4 linked regions of the Neodiprion lecontei genome follow. The protein of the gene in region 1 purifies or fractionates together with the protein of each later gene. This does not show direct contact. Links are inferred from orthologs where the notes say so. Each region holds a gene or a part of one and is shown in the gene's direction. Other genes may lie near its edges.

Region 1 (4,996 bases):
GTGGAATATCATTCTAGCCCAACGAAATTAGAAAAACTTACTTCTCCTCATCCGTTACATCTCCACTCCATGTAAGATGAAATTTCATTTTCACATCTCCAGGTTCATGCGAATCCCATTTTGCTGTATTGACAAACAGTGTGTGAAAAATTACAACGTTTACGGAATTAATTGTCGTTATTTGTATGAAATGAACTTTAATGCTTATAGTATAATACAGGCATATCAATCATTGGCTAGTATTAGAAAGATGTTAAAATTTTTGAATACTCAGTATTATTAAGTTTTCTACTATGCCGTGATGAAAAATTGAAAATATTTTAGGTCCAGTAATCGGCACCTTAATCTTGAATTTTAGACGTGATACTAGCAAGATAATGGTTGAAGATGGATCTAAAATTTATGAAGAACTTTACCGAGCTATTTGGCTTCGCAAATTGAATATATTCAGTTCACGTACTAACATTTTGTATATTCTTACTCTATTATTGCAAAAATATATATAGTATGACTTTGTGTCTCTTATGCTTACAAAATTTGTACTATTTAACGTTTTGTCGTTTGACACAGAATAAAGTTATATCTAGCCCAATTGTGGTGTGGAAACAGCTATGCATTTAAAAGGCTCTTGAAAGGCATTTTATTTTGCTTATACCTCTTTTTAATGTAGGGAAAAACTGTTCATATAAGCTCGTAAGCTAGAATGAGTTTGATAGGCTTATTCGAAAACATCACCGCTACTCTATTTGAGCTCTGCGATATAAGCTTGTCAAAAGCGGGGTAAGTTTTATTGAACTAGGAACTATCATCGATTCTGTGGATTTTATTTGTGTGTTTTTAAAAAGTTTATTTCGTATGAAGAATTCTGTGATTCTATCATCGGTAATAAATCAGATGCAGGTCGAGATGATTGTATCGCTCCTTTTGTTGTATAAGAAAGTCATCAAGAGGATGTTGTGGTGATAAGCAAAAACTTGTACTGTTGCTCAATGAGTTTTTGCTGTAAACTTACACGTCAGAATGACCATATTTTTATTCCAAGCAATTGCGAGGACATCCCCTGCTGGTGATAAGGAGATAATAAGATCTTGAAGAGGTAGTTCTTTATCCGGTACATAATCCACTGAAAGATTGGGTATAAATATGTAGATATAGATGGGTGTAACGTACATATTGTTTATTGGATAACCTTAGTGGTTACTGTTATTGATGACAGTTGAGATTTTAATTGAATGGGATTTTCTTACGTTTGGAGCCAGCATCTCTGAGTAAGGAATTCTTGACGTTGGGCAAATCGACCAAATTAGCGATTCCTTTGATTTGGCACGACATTTTCGTGCTGACACTTTATTATAAATATGTTGTTAAATGACTCTCATCTCGAATATGCATGAATATGCAGACTGTAGCGGAATAAAGTTTGATGGAAATTGACTGAAAAGTTAGTAGAATTGTCAGATCATATGACACGATGTTTCTGAGAATGCTAGTATATATTGCGGAATTTCAAATAACGCGTTCTAAGTTCCTTAAAAGAGAGGATAGATGCAGCGTACATTATGTCCGGATAAATTTTGGCGCGCGCCGAATAGAAATAAATACAATTTCGAAATATGATACACTTAAAAACAGAATCCTTCCGTAAATTTTTATTACAAGGTAAAAATGAGCACACGTGTTTCCGTGACGTCATGTGACGTCCACTGACGTCATACTAAACTATCGTTTATGCGATTGAGGATTGGTCGAAATTGGTGTAGCCTACCAATGGTGAACGTTGTTTCTCCGCATTTGTCGCGTAAAATTTTCGGCCATCTTGTTATTATTTTCGAAAATCTTTAGGTTGGGTTTCGCGACGACATAGTTGACGGGTTTGCTCGTATTATCGGTGGAAAAAATCACATGAAATTCGCATGAAACCTGGGGAAAGTAGGTTTGACGTACATCGGCCTCGGTGGGTATATTATTTTAGTGTATTTGATTCTGATAGTGGAAGAGAGAGAAAGTAGAGAGTTGGAGAAATGAGTGAGAAAGAGCGAAACTGCGAGTGTGTGGAACGAGGAGCGAGAAGTGTGTAGCGCGCGGGAATCGTCGACTTGTGTGTTTAGCCCTTTTGTGCTTGTGGTTAATTACTCTGAAACGTAACGACTGGCGAGAGAAAGAAAATAAAACGTCCTTTTTTTTACCCCGGGGACGGGAAGCTGTATGAAAGAGTTTATACGGTAGGTCAAAACCTTCAATCTCAAATCACCTTCGCCCAACGGGCAACGACGCAATGGAAAAACGGCAGCCGGGCTTCCTGGACGACCGAATTTACACTATTTAACCTAACTCCGGTAGTCGTCGTCGAGTCTCATTATGTTAGTATCGTTTCCTCTACTCATCCGATTCCACTCTAAATATTACACTATATTTCAAAATCCGAAATTCACATAACCTTGTTTGCGATTGTCAGATGTAGGTTAGGTCGGTTGTTCGGTCGGTCGCAGTGCGGTGACCTCCCCTGCGGCACGCTTCCTAGCATTTTTGGTTTTTTCCGTTTTTTCGGCACGTGGAGGAATCGGGCTCCTTGAATTCTCAACATTTGTTCGGAAAATTTATTTATCCCCAAATTAATCATGGCACATGATCCCCCCTCCCCTCCCTCCCCTTCCCAACTCTCTTCTGAATAGACAAAGTATACATCAAGCACCATCCCATTATGTATGGCATGAAGTTTAGAATAATGGATGCATCTTTTTTGAAGGTTCTTTGAGATTCAGATTTCAGAATTTCAGTGACTTTTTGGGCATGTTTCCTTAGCAAGATCAATTTCGATGCTATCGGTATCAAAAATTGGATGGAAACTAGGTGCACCAAGCATCGTACTTACAAATTTTTAAATCTTGTATCAGTAAATGAAAATGTTCTTAGATTGAGAGTTGTTGCGTTGAAATTTAATCTAAAAACAAGTAATGTATTGTCCTCATTGAATAAACAAACATACGTGATTACACATGTCGGGGCATGTGCTTAAACTTTGATATCTAATTTTAATTAATCATTGAGAAATCAATTCGAAAGTTAATGATGTTTTCATTATTTTTCTTTTGCTTATTTTGTTCTTAAGCACTTTGGAATCTTTCCATGTAGTCTCATATTTCAATATTATTGAAATTGTAATGATTGAACCGCAAGTGCATCATACTTCATGGCAAATATTGATCAGTTATCAAATTTGCTAACAAACGCTGTTTAAGTGCACACCGAAACAACTTGGGAACAACGTATTCTATAGCGGTCAATGAACATTTTTACATTGTAATTTTTGTTTATTTATTCTATCAAGCTGAAATTACGTTGTCAGACCATATGCTTCCGGATTTATCATAATTCGCAAATTTTCACATATATTCTAAAACCTGAGTTTTTGTGTCTTTCTACACTGCACGAGCTATGCTTAAAAATTATGTTAGGTAAAAAGAAACTCGAAAAAATTAGTCCCTCAGTTGGGCACTTTGTTTTTAGGTACCCATATGTAAATAAGATTGCCTAGGAAATATTGTTTGTTTAGAATGTTATGATTATAAGTTATCAGTATTCATTAAAATTTAGTTACCACAATTCTACTGTTTACATGCAACTGTTAGTCTCTATTTGATCAGCAGCAACCTCTAAACTAAAATATTTACTAGAGTCGTAGTGCAGGCTCATCACTGTTGACGCATTACAAGTAACAATGCAAATAATGATATTTTTTTTGTGTGCAGATTGAGTGTGTGAAAGCAAGGGTAATAAGTGAGTGCAATGGCGACACTTGCAGAGCAAGCGTCCAAGTTATTGGACTTCAACCAAAAGCTGGACATCACGCTCCTGGATAATATAGTCGGATGCATGTATACTGGGGTTGGTGAACAACAGCGTGTTGCTCAGGAAGTGCTAACCACCCTCAAAGAACATCCAGATGCGTGGACACGAGTTGACACCATCTTAGAATACTCACAGGTGAGTTATGCCAATTGTAGAGAAAACTTTGACCATTGAATGAAAAGTGTGAAAATCTTTTTATTCAAGTAATCATTTCATAATCAACAGCCGTCAATGTAGAGAGACATGGTCATGCCTTCCACTAGCATCACCATAAATGATTTGGTTAATTCTGTAACTCTTAGCTGAAAGTTATTCACACCAAATTTAGCACCGTTGCCTTTTTGGTCTATTTGACATCAATTACCAAATAAAAATAATTCCCTTCAATTTTTCATTGTATTGCAACAAAGAAAAATATCAAATTATTATAGTTAGCCATTTAAGTTGGTGATTTCGAAAATTTAAAATTGATTGCGAAATTCTATAGACCAGAAAGTAAGAAGAGTATCAATTTATTTTTTTTGGATAGTTGGAATTTATTTTAGACAAAGAAAAAAGTTCAGCTGCACAGAATTAATAGTTCTCACTAAAGTTAACATTTTGGAATAAGTAAACTTCAGAATAAAAGTGGAAACCTTCAGCATCTAATTTTTTTCAGTGGTTCTAACAATTTGTATAAAATTTCAATCTTGAAACAGTTGAATCAAGATAGAATTAAATTACGAGTTCTGAAAAACCTCAAAACTCTGAAAGTTTAGTATGATCATGTCAATTTCACAGTGATTTAAAAAAAAAAAATGGTCATTATGATGTTCATTTTTCTCTCCGAAATAAAGAATCTTGAATGAACAGAGTATGTGAATGAAACAGGAATGCGTCTAACTTTTTCATTAATTCTTTAGAATCAACAAACAAAGTACTACGCACTACAGATCTTAGAGCAGGTTATCAAGACACGGTGGAAAGTTCTACCAAGGAATCAATGTGAGGGTATTAAAAAGTATATTGTCGGGTTGATCATCAAAACTAGTAGCGACCTGGAAACAATGGAGGCCTCTAAGGTCTACTTAAACAAGCTGAATATGATCCTTGTGCAGGTAATAATTGAAAAAAAATAAAATAAAAGAAAACTGTTTTCTTTGCGGGA
Region 2 (6,954 bases), on another chromosome or scaffold:
TCCTCTTCATCCTCCTCTTCATCTTCTTCCTCATCTAGGTCTTCCTCCAAACTTTCTGCATCTTCTTTGCCATTTCCCTCGACAACAGCCACTTCTATATTATCTCTATTTTCCTCCTCTACGCTTGGCGAGGTTGTCACTTGACCTGTATCAATTATCGGCTTCTCTGATATTTCAAGGCTATTGCTATCCTCTGTTTCTAGTATATCTCCAGCCTCACCATTTGTCAATGTGCTAATCAGACTGACCACCCCGTCGCGATCCCTGGTTTAGAAAAAGAAAAACAGATTTTCCTCTTTACAGGTGCTATAGAAATACGATTTACAACTGTGCAGAAGATTGGTAAACTAACTCCCAGTATATAAGTACGCCTTTGTTCAACAGGCCTAATTTAAAATTCTCAAAGTTTTGCTAAAAACAATAAGCGCGTAACACAGACTTTGAAGATCTGTCTCATAATCAATTAAACTTGGCAAAAACTTTACTTACTTCGCAACAAGCTGCCAGCTCTCCTCGTCCAAGTCTTCGCGGTAAACTCTTATGTTACATTCTTCATCCAGCTGACACCAGTAAGCTAAGCCAGACTTATCTCGACCAAGAGGTTCGACTCGCAACTCACTCGCAGCCAACTTGTTTACTTCGTTTTTGAACCTTTGATTCAAGTCAAACTGCGCCTCAAGAAGAACCTATATATTGATTTAATAAAAATTGTTTAGTAGGGCAAGGAGTGTGATTTGAAAGAAAAAAAGATTGTCAAACTTAGACAACATGTTGATATCAATTACCTTCAGAAGCCGCAATTTGACGGCAATCCGAGCTTTCTTGTAGCCGAAACGCTCGAGCTCCCATCCATCTTGGTTTGAATATGTATGACAAAATTTCACTAGAGCTCGTTCCCATTTTTCTGCGGATACAGTCTTGCGCGTTTTTCTTAACAGCTTTATGTGCAGGTCTATCAACTGTTGTGGTACTGTAAAAACCCACACAGATTAAAATCATTTCTTTTTATAAGTTTTAATTCAACGGCTGTACGCAAGTAATCCTAATTTGTTTGTATTGTTTGTGACCTTGGTAATGAATATGAAAGGAAATATTTACATCCAGCGATGCTAAGGGGTTTTATAATTCGTGATTGAGTAGCAATTATAACAATTATCAATTGAAATTATAAGTGGTGTGCTTTAGTTCTGATTTCTGTCACATGTTCATCATAAATAAGTGAGAGGTGGCAGCACATGAGAAAATAATAAACAATAGAAAAAAAATAATATCCATCTGTCAATACAGGCGGCAATTTTCGCGGTCAACATTATCAGATTGAAAAATACACGCTAAGCGATAACGATGAATCGTAGTAGGCGAAGAAAAAATTTCATTGAGGTAAAGATCGTGGAAGTGGGATGAAAATGCGCACGCAGAGGCGGTACAGCGAATAGGGCAAAGCAAATAAACGTTAAGCGACTTTTGTCAAATCGCGAGTCCCTTAGGGCCTCGAAAAACAAAGTTTGACACTGAAATCGGAGCGTACTCACCTTCCTGGGCGTTTTCTACCATATCCTGAAGTAAGGCTATGTCCGGGTACTCAATGCCGCATGATTTACCAAAACACTCGAGGAACGAGCAAATTACCGCGAAATTTGGGTCACTAACGCAGGAGGCTTCGTTATCCGACGCCATTTTTCCTGCCGCTTGCTTTGATCGCGAGCTGTCGAGTACTTCGAGTACTACGCTAGGCGGCCTGTCGACTCAACATCGGGACCTTCGGTGTTGTTCGGACGCTCGCACGGACCGAACGTCGTTACAATTTTACCATGAGTTTTGATTTTAGGTGGCTACGCACCTTCAACACCTCCGCGCGGTAATAAAAACTAACCGAAAATCTCACCAACGCACGTCCGCGATTCACGGATGGATATAACACCACTTACACACGCACTGAGATGTGCGAAGGTGTTTGTTGAGCGTCACGGTGCGGGCGGGGAGGGGTTACCGAGGAGGGGATGTGAGGAGCGGGGAGGGTCAAAACACCGACGCGCACTAATCAAATAACACTTGACACCACTTCATATTTACGCATACAACACGATCCGTAACTTCCTACGTATGTTGCGTACTTATTTATATACGTCAATGTTTCGATAACTTGTTTATTTAGTTATTTTCTTATAGTGCAGAGTTTGATATAACACCCGCGATTATTCTCCCTGATGATTAAAGGTGGTGTGCTGTTGGTAGTAGTGGTGATAGTGTTATGTTGATGCCGCGTCTGCGTGTGCAGAGTGCAAACCAACGACTATGCCAGAAAAACTATCACAACCGTGGGCATCGCAAGTCAGAGCATCCAAGCAGAGCGGTATAACTAGACTGCATCATCCTCGCCGCGGTTCGCCGACAATCCAGCATAGGTATTCCCAACCATTTCCAACTGGGCACCGATCATTTTAAAAGAAGTACCGCGAGCTGAGTGTACAGTAATCATTACGACACACTAATATTATAGCGCCCCGCTTAATCACTGACTCTACGTATTTACTTTTTATCACAAGCTCGTCGCACACGCGTATTATACTCACTGTCAAACAATACGCTACGCACACAAATGTCCCCCAGCATTTTACAACACTTCTACACCTTTTCCTTTCAATGAACTTCTTAAACGACTAATTTTTAACTCTTCTTTTTCTTTTTTTCTAACTTTGGTTCAGTCTCTTGAAACCGGGAATATTTTCACAATTACTTACGGACCACGGGTCCACACGAACGCCTCAGTCGCGCTCGCGTTCTTGCGCGGCATTCCTCCAAGAAGTCTCTCTTCACTTTTCACAGGCGTGTTCCAAAATGTAATGCCGGCACCGATAGTTATCTCGCTTCCTTGTTCTTTTCAGATTTTTACTAGCGCTTTCTCTCTTGCGGTAATTTCACACTACTGATAGTATATTTCGGAACACGCCATTCGAACCAAATTATTGGTCAGAGTGAGATAGCCTTACAATTTTCAAAGTCTATGGACAGATAAGAGCACTGATATATATATATATGTGTAAGACCGTGGTCAGCATTGGTGTATAGGAGATATGGCTTAAGAGTATGCTGCTTGTAGATGAGCGACTCTGATCATCTTTTGGTCACGTTACGATTTTCGTGCTAATTAGCAGCATCGCTGCGTACTAACGAAACGTTACCTGCCTATTGTGGTCCGATGCACTCCGATGACCGAGCACGTGCTGGTGAAGTTTTGATTGTTCCAACTTACCGCTTTCAGTTAAATAAAAAGGGTATTGGAGTTCTCTTTTCTAAAAGGTTGCGATCGAATCCAGTTCTTTGATCGAAAATGGAATACATCGATGAATCGGCTATGCCGAAAGAATCCGCGGCACACATGTGAGTGAAAGGGTTTCTTAACCAATAATGTTATGAGCATTCTTTGTATTTCCGTTGCTTTGAATTCTTACCATGACAAATGACTTGCTCAACTTATAATATTACTGTGTTCCTTCGTAGCTTATGCTGTGAATGCGGAGTACCGATCTCACCAAACCCAGCCAACATGTGTGTCGCCTGTTTGCGAACAAGAGTTGACATAACCGACGGTATCCCCAAACAGGCGACATTGCATTTCTGCAAGGGATGCGAAAGGTAAGAGAACAACCATAGTGCAAGAGACTGCAGAATTATTCACATGTATAGTCAATGAGATCGGACAATATTAAACAAAAATGATAAACAGGTACTTGCAGCCTCCTGCTGAATGGATACACGCAGCGTTAGAATCTCGTGAGCTCCTATCTTTGTGTCTCAAGAAATTGAAGGGTTTGAATCGTGTTAAACTCATAGATGCCGGATTTATCTGGACAGAACCCCACTCAAAGAGACTGAAAGTATGAATAGTTAATAATTAACGCACCAATTATGTTAAATGCCAATTTCGTTTGAAAAAACATATGTGATACACTTTGATGATGTTTTCAAATTAGGTCAAACTAACTGTTCACGCTGAGGTGATGGGTGGTACCGTTCTGCAACAAGTGTTTGTTGTCGAATATGTAGTCAATCATCAGATGTGTGATGATTGCCATCGCAGTGAGGCCCAAGATTACTGGCGTGCCTCTGTAGGTTTATTAATTAATATACATATACTCAGACATTGAATATTTAATTTTAAAAAATCACAGATGCAAGTATGAATAGTAAGGAAAGAGGTTTTTCATTCCAGGTACAAGTACGACAAAAAGCGATAAATAAGAAAACATTTTTCTACTTAGAGCAGCTCATTTTGAAGCACAAAGCTCATGATCAGACATTGGGCATCAAGCCGATTCACGGTAAAAATCGAGAACTTTAGTGATGTTCTTCCTTTGTACGTTTTGCTGATTCCATGTGAACTAAATAAGCTGATTAAAAAATATGTGGTTTTATTTAGATGGTCTGGATTTTTACTATGCCAATGAAAGTGCAGCGCGAAAGATGATCGATTTCCTTGGTGCAGTATTGCCTTGTCGCTCTCATCACTCAAAGAAATTAATTTCACACGATATTCATAGTAATGTTTATAACTACAAGTTCACATTCAGGTAGAGCAATTGTTTTTATCAACCTGAATTCCACTACTTCTCTGAAGTGGAATTTAAAAAAAAAGTAAACTTCTTATCATTGCAGCGTAGAAATTGTACCCATATCTAAAGACAGCCTGGTGTGTCTACCTAAGAAATTAACACATCACTTGGGAAACATCAGTCCGATCTGTCTTGTTTACAGAACAACTAACGTTATTCATCTCATGGACGTTTCATCAGGACAAAGTAAGTGACACTGAGTAAAAAACATTCAATGGAAATAATTCGGTTCCATTAATTCAGCAAATTTTAACAGTCGCAGAAATTAATGCCACAACGTATTGGCGATATCCGTTCAACAGTATCTGCAATCCAAAGCAGCTTACAGAGTATGTGGTAATTGATATTGAGCCGATAAAAGAGAAAGATAAAAAAATATTTCCTGGGCAAGGCGCAGTATCTAATAAGGTAAATAAATTGAATCAATGAATCAAATCCTCATTAGACTCGTTAAATATTTAGTTTCTGAGTTATCGTTTTCCTTATTCACTATTCAGCACGTTGTATCAGACGTTTGGCTTGTCAAAGCTTCAGAGCTTGGAATAAGCGAGAACACTATTCACACGCGAACGCATTTGGGATACATCCTTAAACCGGGTGATTCTGCTCTTGGGTATGTTGATCTAAGCTCAATTATTCTTACATCTGAGACATTGAACAAATTGTTGCAACTATTGCGCTATGATATTTGAATTTCAGATATGCAGTAGGAGACAGCAACATAAATGATACGAATTTTGAAAAACTAGATGGAGATTTGATCCCTGATGTAATTCTAGTGAAAAAGTTCTATGGTCATGATAAATTGGCACGCCGTCGAGCCAGAGTATGGAAACTGAAACACTTGGCTGAAGAGGTGGTCAGCATGAGTACGGAGAACAAGTATGAACCTCTTTATTATCATTACTTAGATTACAGTATACTGTTTTTTGAGCATTCAATTGAACCATACTTCCAGTGAGTACAACGAGTTTTTGGATGAATTAGAAGAAGACCCAGAAATGAGACAGAATATAAATATATTCCGAGATACCAGCAAGCAGATGCCTGTAGACACAGACGAAATAGATCCAAGCATTCCACAAATTACTCTTGAAGAAATGCTCGACGATCTTGTGATAGATGATACCGACATGGCTGAGGTCTATCAATAAAACGTAACAATACAGATATTATTACCTACTTATGTATATTACAGATGTACACACAACTTTAAAATAGGTTGAAAAAAAACATTGAATATTGTTTTCATATTTGCTGATAAATTCACTTCAAGATAAGCTATAAATTTAAGCATTACTTACGTTGACAAATTTATAATTTTCTTGTAGCTAAAATAAAATGTGAAGACAAGATTCCTATATTGCACGGAACTTACTTTTTTCATATATTGCAAAAGTACGGAAATATATTTATGAATGTTGATGGAAAGTGGGTTACAAATATAATACTTGGCTGTGCGAAAGTGGAATCTGCTAATTTTAAACCCCTACTTAAATTTACCGGTTTAAAAAACGGGTTTAATGTATAAGCGATTTAATCGAGTCAATTTGTAATCCTACTTATGAACAAGTTTTACCTATCCTGTTGAATGAAAGGCATCTGATACGAGCTTCTAAATTCACGTTTACTTGTATAACAAGTGATACAATCAAGTATCAGTGATTTAAACGTGATCAATATTTCCAATCAAAAATTCAAGTGTCGGAGTGACAATAACAGATTTTTTGCTCTGATAATCAATCTCTATCAGGCTGTTGCAGAAACAGGTGTATATTATCAATAAATAATCATCAACGTGGACGAACGAGTCGTCATAATATCTGGCGGTATTATCAAGAATGAATGACAATTCCATGTGAATGTAGCATGATATGTTGTGTAAAATCAGCAGATGAGGGTGTGGAACCTATTATGCGCTAATCCACTTGAAGTGTTGGTAATCATTGTTATTATTATTGTTGAACTCCGTTTAATATATATTGATAGTTGTATCTGAGGAGTGTCTCATTTCTGTGGCAACATGAAGCTTTCATGGCTTTTCGTTGCTATTGCAACAACCCTTTTCGTACAGAATGTGGTGTCGAATACCATTTCTACTGCCGAAGGTGAGTAATTTTATTTTTTTTCTCATAATAATTAATACTGCAACAAAATAACGATCAGTAGCAATTTAAGTAATCTTTCATCCTTTTCCTTTGAAACTAATTTTGAATGTTCTAGAGAGGCTTGTAGCAGCAATCACCGCAGAAGTTGATGTATTAGCAAAGACCGGAGTAGTCACAGAGGAGCTTAAGGCGTACTTAGCCGAATTGGCTTTTCCAACTCTTACACGAAACAC
Region 3 (5,662 bases), on another chromosome or scaffold:
CTGCACTTAAGTACATCGATTTATTTCCAGTTATTCTGGAATGAACAGACGCGAATTGCACAGCAATTTTTTTAATTTTTTTTTTTTTTCTCTTTTTTAAATCACCCCGATTTTCTGCCTTTGCTACTTTTTAATTCACTTCTTGCCGCACGAGGCGGAGTGTATATTTCAAACTTTTGTGAAGAATCAGACAATTTTCGATAATACAAACATACAGCACCTCAATATACTTACCAATGATATCTTGACGGATAACTTCTTTATTCACAAACAAATTATCCGGCTTTTCTTCCTTCAAATAATCGACATCTTTAATTTTCCAGACTACCGCTTGTCCCTGACGACCCTGCGGTAAACCCCTGGCGATTTCTTCTATCAGATTTTTGTAATCTTTGTCCAGCAGCGTCGCGATCGTTCCTGACCGGCGTTCTATCAGTTCTTTCTGTAGTTCCGGTGGAACCGGATGTGCTCCGCGACAATGATGACACCCGATCTGGGGGAGAGAAAAAAAATGAGCAAATCTTTTACGCGTGCGTAATAAAACGGGGAAAGAAAATCGAAGAGTACTACGGTGAAAATTTCTACTACTACGAATTTTTACGTAAGTTGGAACATTTCGTATTATTTCGTAAAAAGTTGTAAATATGCATAGTTTTTTCGTAAAGAATTAATAATTTTTGTTAAAAATTGTAGTAGCTTTTAGATTTTTTTTATGAAATGTTGGAAATTTTTATGAGAAACTATGCGTATTTACCATTTCCCTAAAAATTGGTCGAAAATTGTAGATATCATTCTCACAAGGGTAGAGTCAAAATTCTTTACCTCGACCAGCATCTGAGAAACGAAAGACACGTCGGATCTGAGAATCGTATCGGCGCCCCAAAAAATTAGATCGACATCGCGGTAAAGATTCTCTATGGTGTCGGTTTCGGCTGGTAAATACTTTTCGACCAATTCCAACGCGGGAGTGACGTAATTGCTATTTGCATTTTTCACGATCGATCTGATACCCAGAAGAGACGATAAACGGTTCCAAAATCCACCGGTTAATATCGGCAAGGCGATTCCCGACTGGTGAAACACGTACGATTCAGCCTCCGAGCCTTGGGTCCAAATCACTGGAATTGAAGCGAATTTTCTTACCCATGGTAGGACGCAGGCGTCGTGTCTGAAAAGTTATGGTTTTCATTTAAAATCGGTCGAGTTCGTGAGCCTATTTCATTCGCAGATTCTGTACCTCAAACCAGGCGAAATAACGTAAGTCGGTGAAAATTCCTGAATCAAATTTTGAATCGTTTCATCGCTCAGGAGACTTTCGCAGGCTTTCAGTGCCCGCGATTCCTTCGTACTTGCCAAAGCCGCGTCGACTTTCACCTCGACAACTTCGACGTCGATCAAATTATCGTACAGCAGATCCCGCGAGGTCGAGGGTATTATCAACACTGTGTTTATGTTCTCGTCGGACAGAGTGTTTGCGAGTAAGGACAATTCGTGCTCGTATTCGAAAGCCAAAACCACCGCAGACTTTGGCGGCGTAACCAAACTCGACGCACTTATCAGATTTACAAAAGCTAATGAGAACCACGCACCGTATAAACTAGTCAGCATCATCGTTGATTAGTTATTAATTATCCTACTCAACTTGGCTCATACCGTAACCAACTCGTCCGGCGTTACAGCAACGCGTACTCGCGATATGATAATACGCGCCCTGAGACAGAGGATGTTTTGCTGTTACTCTGCGATGTGTCACATCTTCCACGTGTACGCGTATTCATGAACGCATTTGAGACAATCGGACTGTTTCGTTGTTCCACGGTTCTTCATCCCTGGGCTATTATACTGCTTGAAATACATCGACAACCACTTATCCTTGTTCCAGATGGTTCTGATATTTTGGGTTTTGGTAATTTAACCTCAGGTTCGACGCAAAAACCCTCGAGTATCAATACGCTTGACGCAGAACCGTCACCGGCCGTTCGCTGTGCCGGTATTCCTTCTCTCTCCTCTTTCTCTCTATTTCCTTCTACGTTCGTCCAGCATCTCACGTGTGGGCGTGGAATGAATCCCTACCATTTTTCGCATCACGAGATGCCATGTGCGCTGCCGCTTCGCGCGCGATTTAACTTATCGTCAACCAACTGAATTTCTGAATTCATTGTGCCGAAAAGTCCGTGTACCCAAATCTTGTGGATCGTTTTTTAATACCTGAACTTACATGTATTACAATTTTGAATGTAACGTAAATCGAACTACCGTACCAATTCCATCGTTCCGTGCGTCTAAATATTCGATTTGCGCATCAGCGCGGGCGAAAAGTCGTGTCAAACACAAAAGCGCCTGTATTAACGTAAATCTGTGCGATATAATTTTTGAAGAGTCATCGGATCGTGTAGAGAGTAATACGTTTTAACGAAATATTAAACCACTGTGCCTACAGATGCAAACTTCAGAGTGTCGAAATCGGGGAAAAAAAAACTTTATCTTAAGTTAGGTGAAAAGATTAACAACTCGGCGAATTTGGAGGTTATTCGGCTACCTTCTAGTGCATTGAAGTCTTTATTGTAAATAAAAATGAATTATACATTTGGCGCTCAGAATCCGAATACCCAGGCTGGGTTCACCCCAGGAACTACTGCCCCGCCTGTCACAGGAGGTAAACCTACCTACGTTTCGTTGCTACCTACGAAAGATTCTCTGTCACCTGGCTTATCCATGCTTTACTATTTGATCTAATTGCGCCACAATTGCTGTATTTTATGCTTCCCAGTAATAAACTTTTGGTCGACTCCCTAACTGACATTCGTTATGTTTAGTTCATTTCTCAATTTCTTAAATTTCTCTGACCCAGGAGCACAACCAGTCACCTTTGGAACATCAGCAGTAGGCGCCGGCGATGCCAACAAGCAGGGGACACTGGGCCTGGCTCAGCCAGGAGGACACCCCTTGTCGAAATCTATTGGCCAGGCATTTAGTACGAGTTTTGGAACAGCAACATTTGGAGCCTCTCCTGCGACAGCTCCAGCATTCGGTACACCGTCCTCTGGAACAACTGGGTTTGCAAGATCAGGGTCAGGATTAATGGGCCTTGCAACTCCGCAGCAGCAAGCAATAACGGCTAGCAGTCTCCCTGCAGCAAACACAGCGGCTCCAGCTGGGGCTCTGACCTATGGAACACCGATCAGTGCAGCAACAACGACTAATGCATCAGTAGGTTTCCGTACTACGACTCTTCCGAATACAAGCTCAGGTCTTGGCACCCTAGCGATGCCTTCGTCTACGCATGGTTTAAGCTTTGGTGCAAAACCTATGACGACCTCTGCTCTTACTTTCAATTTGGCATCGACTGCTGCCACATCTGGCCAACCACCAGCCAGCAACATAAGCTTTGGTGTTCCAAAAACAGTCGCTACTACCACCATTGCTCGCCCGGCAAGTCAGAGCTTCACAGTACCTGCTGCATCTACACCAGCATCAGGATTCACAACCGGAGTTGGCACTACTCCAGCTGCGACAAGCGCTACAGGCTTCAGTCTCTTTAACACTCCGCAAATTGCCCCAAGTACCGCAGTGGCTCCCACTGCTACCGCTACGCCAACCGCAAGCGCTGCCAGTGGATTTAATCTACCTGGCTCGCAGACGCAAGCAGCTAAAACAACTGGAACTAGCCTTGGCCTCGGTAGTATGGCAACTATTGCACCTGCTACGGCTGCAACTGGATTTTCCACAGGAACTCCAGCTTCCTCGGGTATCTTCACGCTCGGTAGTATGCCCTCTGTTACGGCTGCAACCAGTTTCAATTCGGGTGGTACAACAACGGTTGCGAGCACTCCAGGATTCACTCTAGCAAAGAGTACAGATCCTGCCGCTTCGACTGCGGCACCTACCAGCGCACCACAAACATCTTTGGAGACCACGACCAAGTATGTGTTTTCATCCGTAGTGCTCATAAAATTTTAATTCTTGGCATGGATGTGATTAACAATTGCTTTTTACAATAGTGTTACAGCCTCGACGGCTGCAACAAGTCAACCAGGTGGATTAAATTTCTGTCAATTGGAAGAATCGATAAATAAATGGACACTGGAACTAGAGGAGCAGGAAAAAGCGTTTGTAAATCAGGCAACGCAGGTCAATGCCTGGGACAGACTTCTCATTGCGAATGGAGAAAAAATTGTTACCCTAAATCAAGAAGTTGAAAGGGTTAAACTAGAACAGGAACAATTAGAGCACGAGCTGGATTATGTGGTAAGTGAAAGTAACCCTTGTTCAACGCGAATTTCTAATTATGTTAATGTGTACTTTAACGTCTCTTTTCTTCCAGGTTGGTCAACAAAGAGAATTACAGGACTGCCTCGTTCCATTGGAAAAAGAATTGGCAACAGTATCCGCCTCAGATCCGGAGAGAGAATACACTTATCGTCTTGCAGAAAATTTGGATACCCAATTGAAGCAGATGTCCGAAGATTTAAAAGAAATAATTGAGCACCTTAACGAAGCGAATAGATCTCAAGATTCAAGTGACCCGATTGTCCAGATTGGTAAAATACTGAATGCACATATGAACAGTTTGCAATGGCTCGATCAACGTACGTCAGTTTTGCAAACAAAGATACAGCAGATTGATCAAATGCATCAAAACTTTAGACAGGAACATGAGCGAAGCTTCAATTTGGCTTATAATTAACACCTCTGTCGCCATTGAACAAGTGACTACTTTCATAGGACCTTGGATGAATTGCAAACTTGACCGTCAACGATTTCATCTTTCAGCGAATTCAGATATGCCAGTTGAACATCTTATTCGGTGGGTACTCTAATTCAACTACACAATTCAATTTTTTAATCTGCATTAAGAATACAATTCGAGTGGAATATTGACATGACCGAATATCTGCTGTACTTCCAAATATTGTATGAATTTTGTTTTGTTTTCAAAGAGTAAAAAATGCACTCCAACCAATCTCAGAAAGATTGATATTCATTATTACTGCAAGTCCATCGTTGGAGGACTGTCTTGGTCTACATATACATAATGAGATAATTGTTTGAATTATATGGCGATCAGGAATCTGAATCGATTAATTTCCGGTGTTGCACAAATACGTAATTTTTTAATATAAAAAAAGTTATAATTTATTATTCTAATTGATTTCTACAGAATTGAAATGGCTGGTATGAAATAGTGTATTTCTAAATGTCCATCAATGTTCATATGCATGTTAATCATTCTGTCAGCCACTACGTTGCAAATTACGCTTTCGGCTTTTATTATATCCCATGTTAGAAACATTCCAAATTTCCTAATATCTATGGTGGCCGAAACTTCTTCCTCTTCTTCATCCGTTACTCCTGAGTCTCGATCGTCTCCTCCAACCTTCAAGTCTTGAAAGTGCGTCGCTACGGTAGCAAAACTGGTTTCCACCTTCAGTATTAATTTCCCTGTTTTCTTAGCAGTTACGACAAGTTGTGGACTCATTTTTCCCATCTGATCGACAACATTTCGCAAGTGTTTCATGTCTGGCATCTCTATGGAAACCTGTAACAAAAAATAGAGATGCATTTGCAGGAGTAAACTTGATCGCGAGCTAAGTTGCCAGACGATATGATTCAGTATTAGGTCTCTTCAACATACATCGAACGACGGTATAATTGGAGCCTG
Region 4 (4,849 bases), about 5.2 Mb from region 1:
CCAAGCTTGGAAAAGATAAAAATTCCTCGAGGAATACCGTCCGAGTTTGGTCGGGGTTGAGAATCCGGTAAAATGCACGCCCGCGGGCTGGAGGGTTTTTGCATCTCGTGCTATATGCACTTTAGGCCCTGACAGTTTTAACGGGCACCAGCTACGGTATGTTATGCGCTAGGCGTATGGAAGTATGGATTTCTCATAAACTCGATCTACCCACTTCCCGGCTGGTACCCATAATTTCCAAAACACATATATTTAATTAAACAACCCCTCGAGTCGGAGGCTAGCCGCGCTTGCGATAATCGCGATTCAACTTGCAGGTCTCGTTAAGCTCTTCGCCGGCGCTTGCGGACCAATGAAAAAACCGGCTAGAAGAACGGCGGCCAATCAAAACGGGGCTATCGAAGGTACGAAAGGGCAGGCATGCGGAGCCTTGGCAAGCCTCCCGAGAAACGTATCGCGACCGTGTACCGCATGTTCGCCGCAGTATCGCAACCGCGATCAGATATCAATGAAATTTGCATAAAAATCTATACAATGCCCACACCGAGTAACCTGCACACCCGCACGCCGTAGGCCAGACACTTGTTCATTTCGAAATTGCAACCCGGTGTTATTTGCTGCAGCCCCACCAGGCATGATTGATGATTAAAAATTTCCTCCCGCTATCTTTAACCGTATTTATTTAATCCCGTTCTCGACGGAGGAAAATTTCGCGTCCGAGTTGGCGAGACCTTACGGATACGGTCAGAAAGTGTCCCCTGGCACAGTTGTCAGCTACCCCTTTCTACCGGGGAGAGTTGGTAAGGCGTGGAGAGCGAGCGTGGTCGATAAGGGAGTCCGACATCGGCGCGTCACCGCTTTTCGCAAGTTTCTGTACTACCGACAGGAGAGTCGACTTCTCACCCCTTTTCGCGGGGCTTGCGAGAAGCGAAAAGCGAGAAGCTTTCGCGAGAGAATTTTAACGGTCGCCTGTCGTGTCTCCGTAGCGTTGCGGCGTTATCGTCTCGACTGTGTATATAAGGTTTCATAGATTACAAGTGAGTGAGGGGCGCCGGGGGTTGAGCAATATAATTGCAATCATTATGCAAATACATTGTACCCACTGGCCTCTGTGTTGCTTGTACGCGTTTACACGCGTCGTTATAATTGATCGTCGACTGTGAAAAATATCCTACCGCGCGAGTTTTGTATCTCGTATCGATACCTGCGCGTTGCGTTTATATTTTAAAATTACCTAGAGATTTTCATCGGAAATTTATTACCCTTCGTTCCACAAGGCGATACTGTGATTTAATAACACCCTTGGCAATCTCTTGACGGGGAAAATTGCGCATTGGCAAAAGAAGAAAACAAGGAATGAAGTAACTCCAAGTTGGCAGAGAGTTAACAGAATATTGTCACGACACGGGGAAAAAAATATCCAGTCTTGACAACCGGTATTATTTTATCCCGATAATTGAATATACAACTCTGAAAACGTTGAATCGATGCAACCTAAAAAAAATTCCAAGGCCCTTTTATAACGGAAAAGTTTGACACCACAATCCGGAGGATTTTGTTACGATTTCCCAATCAGCTGCAAAATACGTATACAAATTATTGTCGTTGAAAAAATTGAATCAAGAGTATTTCCTGAGTGGATATACACAAATCCCCTCCTGAAATCATTTATCAAAACGATTGGTAGGTAATGAGAATATAATTTATGAGTCAATTATAATAAACATATTCGTCATAGAATAAAAAATGCTCTTCACATGACTGGAATTGTTATTCCAATTGAAATCCAACGGGAGGAATTGATTAAGAAAATAGACCGCAATGAGAAGCGAATCTTGCAATATTATAAGCGTAACCCTCTTGCAGCTGAAGTTCGTGACATCCATTGCGGATGGTAAACTTTTCGATTGAATGTGAAGTATGAAAAGCTCTGGTATTATGTTCGCGTTCGTCCGTTTTGCATGCGATTTGAGCACAATGCGGGCCATCGGAAGCCGTCTCCTACTACTTCCGACGTCTGACTTGCCTGTCTGTCTGTCTCCCCTGCATACGCAATCTCACACACACGTACACAGGCATGGGTATTCGCATATTTATTTGCCGCTATAGAAAAATACACAACGGTTTAGAGGGAGAATATATTCCTTATACGCGTTCTGTCACTCAGACGCGAAGTTTTGCATACGTCGGAAGGGAGGAAGGATCTGTGTTCTTAACCTAGCATATCACTTCTTATACGACGAGTACGACGCTGAGGCATATGTAAATGTCAATTCGGTGCCGTAGAGGAGCTTCGTCGGTGCGCGTTAGCGTCAATCGCTCGAAATCGCTCGAAGACTCGAAATCTGCGGAGCCGAAATAATTTCTATCACTTTACATCGTGATCCTGCGGCTTGTGGCCGATAGCATGGATCAACACGAATTTCGAGTCAGGGTGCTAGATATCAAGTTTTGATTTCTTCTATGCAACTTATAAATGAAAGAATAGTTTTCCTAGATAAAGTTTGTTTTCGAAGAAACCAGAACGATATTTCGGATTTTAAGCAAAATTATCTATTTTCTCAAATATTTTTTGTAAGTAACAAGTAAATAAACTCCAGTATTGCACTTAAATCACTTTTATTCAAAAATAATAATTAATAATAAATTACAAATGTAAAAGAATTGGTAAACAAAGTTTGAGAATTAACATTTCTCGTACTTCTTCGATTCTCGTACGGACTTTCTCGTATCAAACCCCAAACGTAATCTCCCACAATGGTCTCATGATACGTCTCCGATAAAGTCCATCTCATCTTGATGAAAACGTTCTCCTTGTTCTTCCGAATAGGCACCCATATTACAGCTGTCAACCAAAATCTTAAAACCTTGCTTATCAACGTAAAAACGACAAAAACAAATTTTATAAGTAATAAATAAAGGTTTCGGTTATAAATCGACGTATAGAATCGAAATCTATTTACTTCAATAGAAATTCGAAAACAAAATTTCTTTTTTCTCTGCTAACCCGTGTAGTCTATTCCCATATCCGATAACATCCAGGCGAAGACCAGCCTGCCCACGGCGATCGAGGAACGTAACGAGACCGACGATTGGAAGTCGGAGCACAGACGAATTCGCGGATCTGGGCGGGTGACAAATGGTCCCGGACTTGATTGAGTATCGGCACGCCAGACACGCGAGGCTGATAAATAAATGAATCCGGTCCTCCTGGGGCGCATCTTACATCTTACGCGGAATACAAAGCATTAATAGATACGTTTCCACCTTATACGGACTCGCTATGTACTCTCTATCTTACACTCGCCTCCATCTTGGCCGTACGTTGCCGTCCACGTTTCCACGATGAAAATAAACGAGGGACTGCCCGTACCGCTATCGATCTATTCCCGCAGGATAACCTCGGAATCTCGGAATATCGTTGCTCGAGGAAATTAATCGACGTCCCGCCCCATGTTCATGGTATTCATTGGATTTTCAAATTTGTTCTCCTGTAAATTGACGCAGGGTAATCTTACGGGGCTTGCGTCCTTTAAAACAGTCAAACAGGTATCTGAAAATTGCGAGAAAATGTGAATGAAAAATTGACACCAGCGATATGTTGAAAAATGATAGTCATCGAACTTTTGTTGGAAACCTTTTTCATTCGACTGTTCTCGAACATCAATCCAAGAGAAGGTGATCGGAATCCATTTGCATCAAGAGCCAAAGAAATCGTTCGTTACAGGCATCCCTTATTATTAGACGGCAATGCTGCGGGTTTAGGACTAAGCGGTTGATAGGTACGTAGCCTTTCATCGGAGTCCCGCCGCACGCTCATACATGGAGACGTAATACGTACGGTACCGTATACTAATGGCGGGTAGACCATAGCTGGTCATCCAGAAACTCGAGGGCTTATTACGGGAGCGCGGTGTCGAGAGCAAACAAAAGTCAAAGGCAAACTTATATGGGTGTAGGTGGGATACGCGTACCCCGTCTGACGAGTGTTTCTACGAACGCGGACGGGCATAATCTCCACATGACAGCAAAGCTCCAGTGACATGACGACCGGTAATAAGAAAGGGTTAGCCCGGAGGCCTAATGTAACACACCCTCGAAACACGAGGGTGAAATAAAAATAGTATCCAAGTTGTGAGTGGGTATGCGCCGCGGGGTGGTGGGTGGGTGGGTAATATAGAGCTTTTGGTATCATTATCATATCACGTGAGAGCATGTATGCTTGTCAGAGAAAGATGGGTGTTGGTGTCGGGGTGGAGGGAGGAGCGAGGAGCAGAGGGGAGATGACGAGGATCGGGGCGAGGGGGAGTAATGTATGTGTAATATTTTTAATTGTTGACATTAAAATGTGTCCCCCTCGGTTTTTTCTTGTTAGCGTTACGGCGACGGTGGAACGAGGGATTGTAGGGTAGGTTGGCCGGCTTCTGCTGGTTGGCATGCTCGCCCTACCCAACCCTGGGATGTTATTTATTTTCCGCTTAAAGAATTGTTCATGTGTCTCATCAAACGAATGACTTTGGGTCAGAGCTTGGAATTTATGATACGGAATGAAACGGAATGAAATGGACGTCGTTGGCATTTCCTAATCGTCCGAAGTGATGCTCTCTCTGTAATTTAACGGACCTTATTTATAGTTTGATAATTATTGTTGTTTGTTTATTCTTTCTTTTTTTTTTTTTTTTTTTAGTTTCGTTTTTTTCGTCATTTTTATTTTTCATTTTCTGGATTATAAAGGTGAAACACCTCAGATATCGGCACAACTTTACCGATTAGAAAAGCCCGTCGTCGTATAAATTTTTAACCCTTCGGTCATGCAGTGCTCAGAAATCCTCGCACGAAATCAACTGGT

What was found.
Region 2: the proteins of exportin-1 (region 1) and 60S ribosomal export protein NMD3 purify together in Homo sapiens (affinity purification with western blotting; 3 studies listed by BioGRID and IntAct, with this or other methods). This does not show direct contact. The link is inferred for Neodiprion lecontei from reciprocal best matches to the Homo sapiens genes XPO1 and NMD3.
Region 3: the proteins of exportin-1 (region 1) and nuclear pore glycoprotein p62 purify together in Homo sapiens (affinity purification with western blotting; 4 studies listed by BioGRID and IntAct, with this or other methods). This does not show direct contact. The link is inferred for Neodiprion lecontei from reciprocal best matches to the Homo sapiens genes XPO1 and NUP62.
Region 4: the proteins of exportin-1 (region 1) and nuclear pore complex protein Nup88 purify together in Homo sapiens (affinity purification with mass spectrometry; 3 studies listed by BioGRID and IntAct, with this or other methods). This does not show direct contact. The link is inferred for Neodiprion lecontei from reciprocal best matches to the Homo sapiens genes XPO1 and NUP88.

The regions. Positions count from the first base shown.
Region 1 is NC_060262.1:35,772,629-35,777,624, reverse strand, and holds the start of exportin-1, read left to right. Parts: upstream 1-1,817; 5' UTR 1,818-1,954; intron 1,955-1,971; exon of another isoform or gene 1,972-2,222; intron 2,223-3,749; 5' UTR 3,750-3,786; coding exon 3,787-3,984; intron 3,985-4,751; coding exon 4,752-4,946; intron 4,947-4,996. Other genes in the region: rab3 GTPase-activating protein non-catalytic subunit, read right to left, coding at 42-123, 1,013-1,123, 1,248-1,332. UniProt on the Homo sapiens protein: Mediates the nuclear export of cellular proteins (cargos) bearing a leucine-rich nuclear export signal (NES) and of RNAs.
Region 2 is NC_060263.1:19,579,097-19,586,050, reverse strand, and holds 60S ribosomal export protein NMD3, read left to right. Parts: upstream 1-2,012; 5' UTR 2,013-2,405; intron 2,406-3,131; exon of another isoform or gene 3,132-3,262; 5' UTR 3,263-3,331; coding exon 3,332-3,381; intron 3,382-3,501; coding exon 3,502-3,636; intron 3,637-3,727; coding exon 3,728-3,878; intron 3,879-3,974; coding exon 3,975-4,109; intron 4,110-4,213; coding exon 4,214-4,322; intron 4,323-4,420; coding exon 4,421-4,571; intron 4,572-4,656; coding exon 4,657-4,799; intron 4,800-4,869; coding exon 4,870-5,021; intron 5,022-5,110; coding exon 5,111-5,226; intron 5,227-5,312; coding exon 5,313-5,495; intron 5,496-5,571; coding exon 5,572-5,767; 3' UTR 5,768-6,232; downstream 6,233-6,954. Other genes in the region: uncharacterized protein LOC107219245, read right to left, coding at 1-264, 490-686, 786-970, 1,533-1,677; sphingomyelin phosphodiesterase, read left to right, coding at 6,637-6,721, 6,837-6,954. UniProt on the Homo sapiens protein: Acts as an adapter for the XPO1/CRM1-mediated export of the 60S ribosomal subunit.
Region 3 is NC_060264.1:1,899,454-1,905,115, forward strand, and holds nuclear pore glycoprotein p62, read left to right. Parts: upstream 1-2,231; 5' UTR 2,232-2,574; coding exon 2,575-2,656; intron 2,657-2,851; coding exon 2,852-3,923; intron 3,924-4,001; coding exon 4,002-4,248; intron 4,249-4,324; coding exon 4,325-4,687; 3' UTR 4,688-5,139; downstream 5,140-5,662. Other genes in the region: UDP-glucuronosyltransferase 1A9, read right to left, coding at 235-493, 823-1,168, 1,238-1,611; checkpoint protein HUS1, read right to left, coding at 5,156-5,539, 5,636-5,662. UniProt on the Homo sapiens protein: Essential component of the nuclear pore complex. The N-terminal is probably involved in nucleocytoplasmic transport.
Region 4 is NC_060262.1:30,565,544-30,570,392, forward strand, and holds the start of nuclear pore complex protein Nup88, read left to right. Parts: upstream 1-1,764; 5' UTR 1,765-1,769; intron 1,770-4,849. UniProt on the Homo sapiens protein: Component of nuclear pore complex.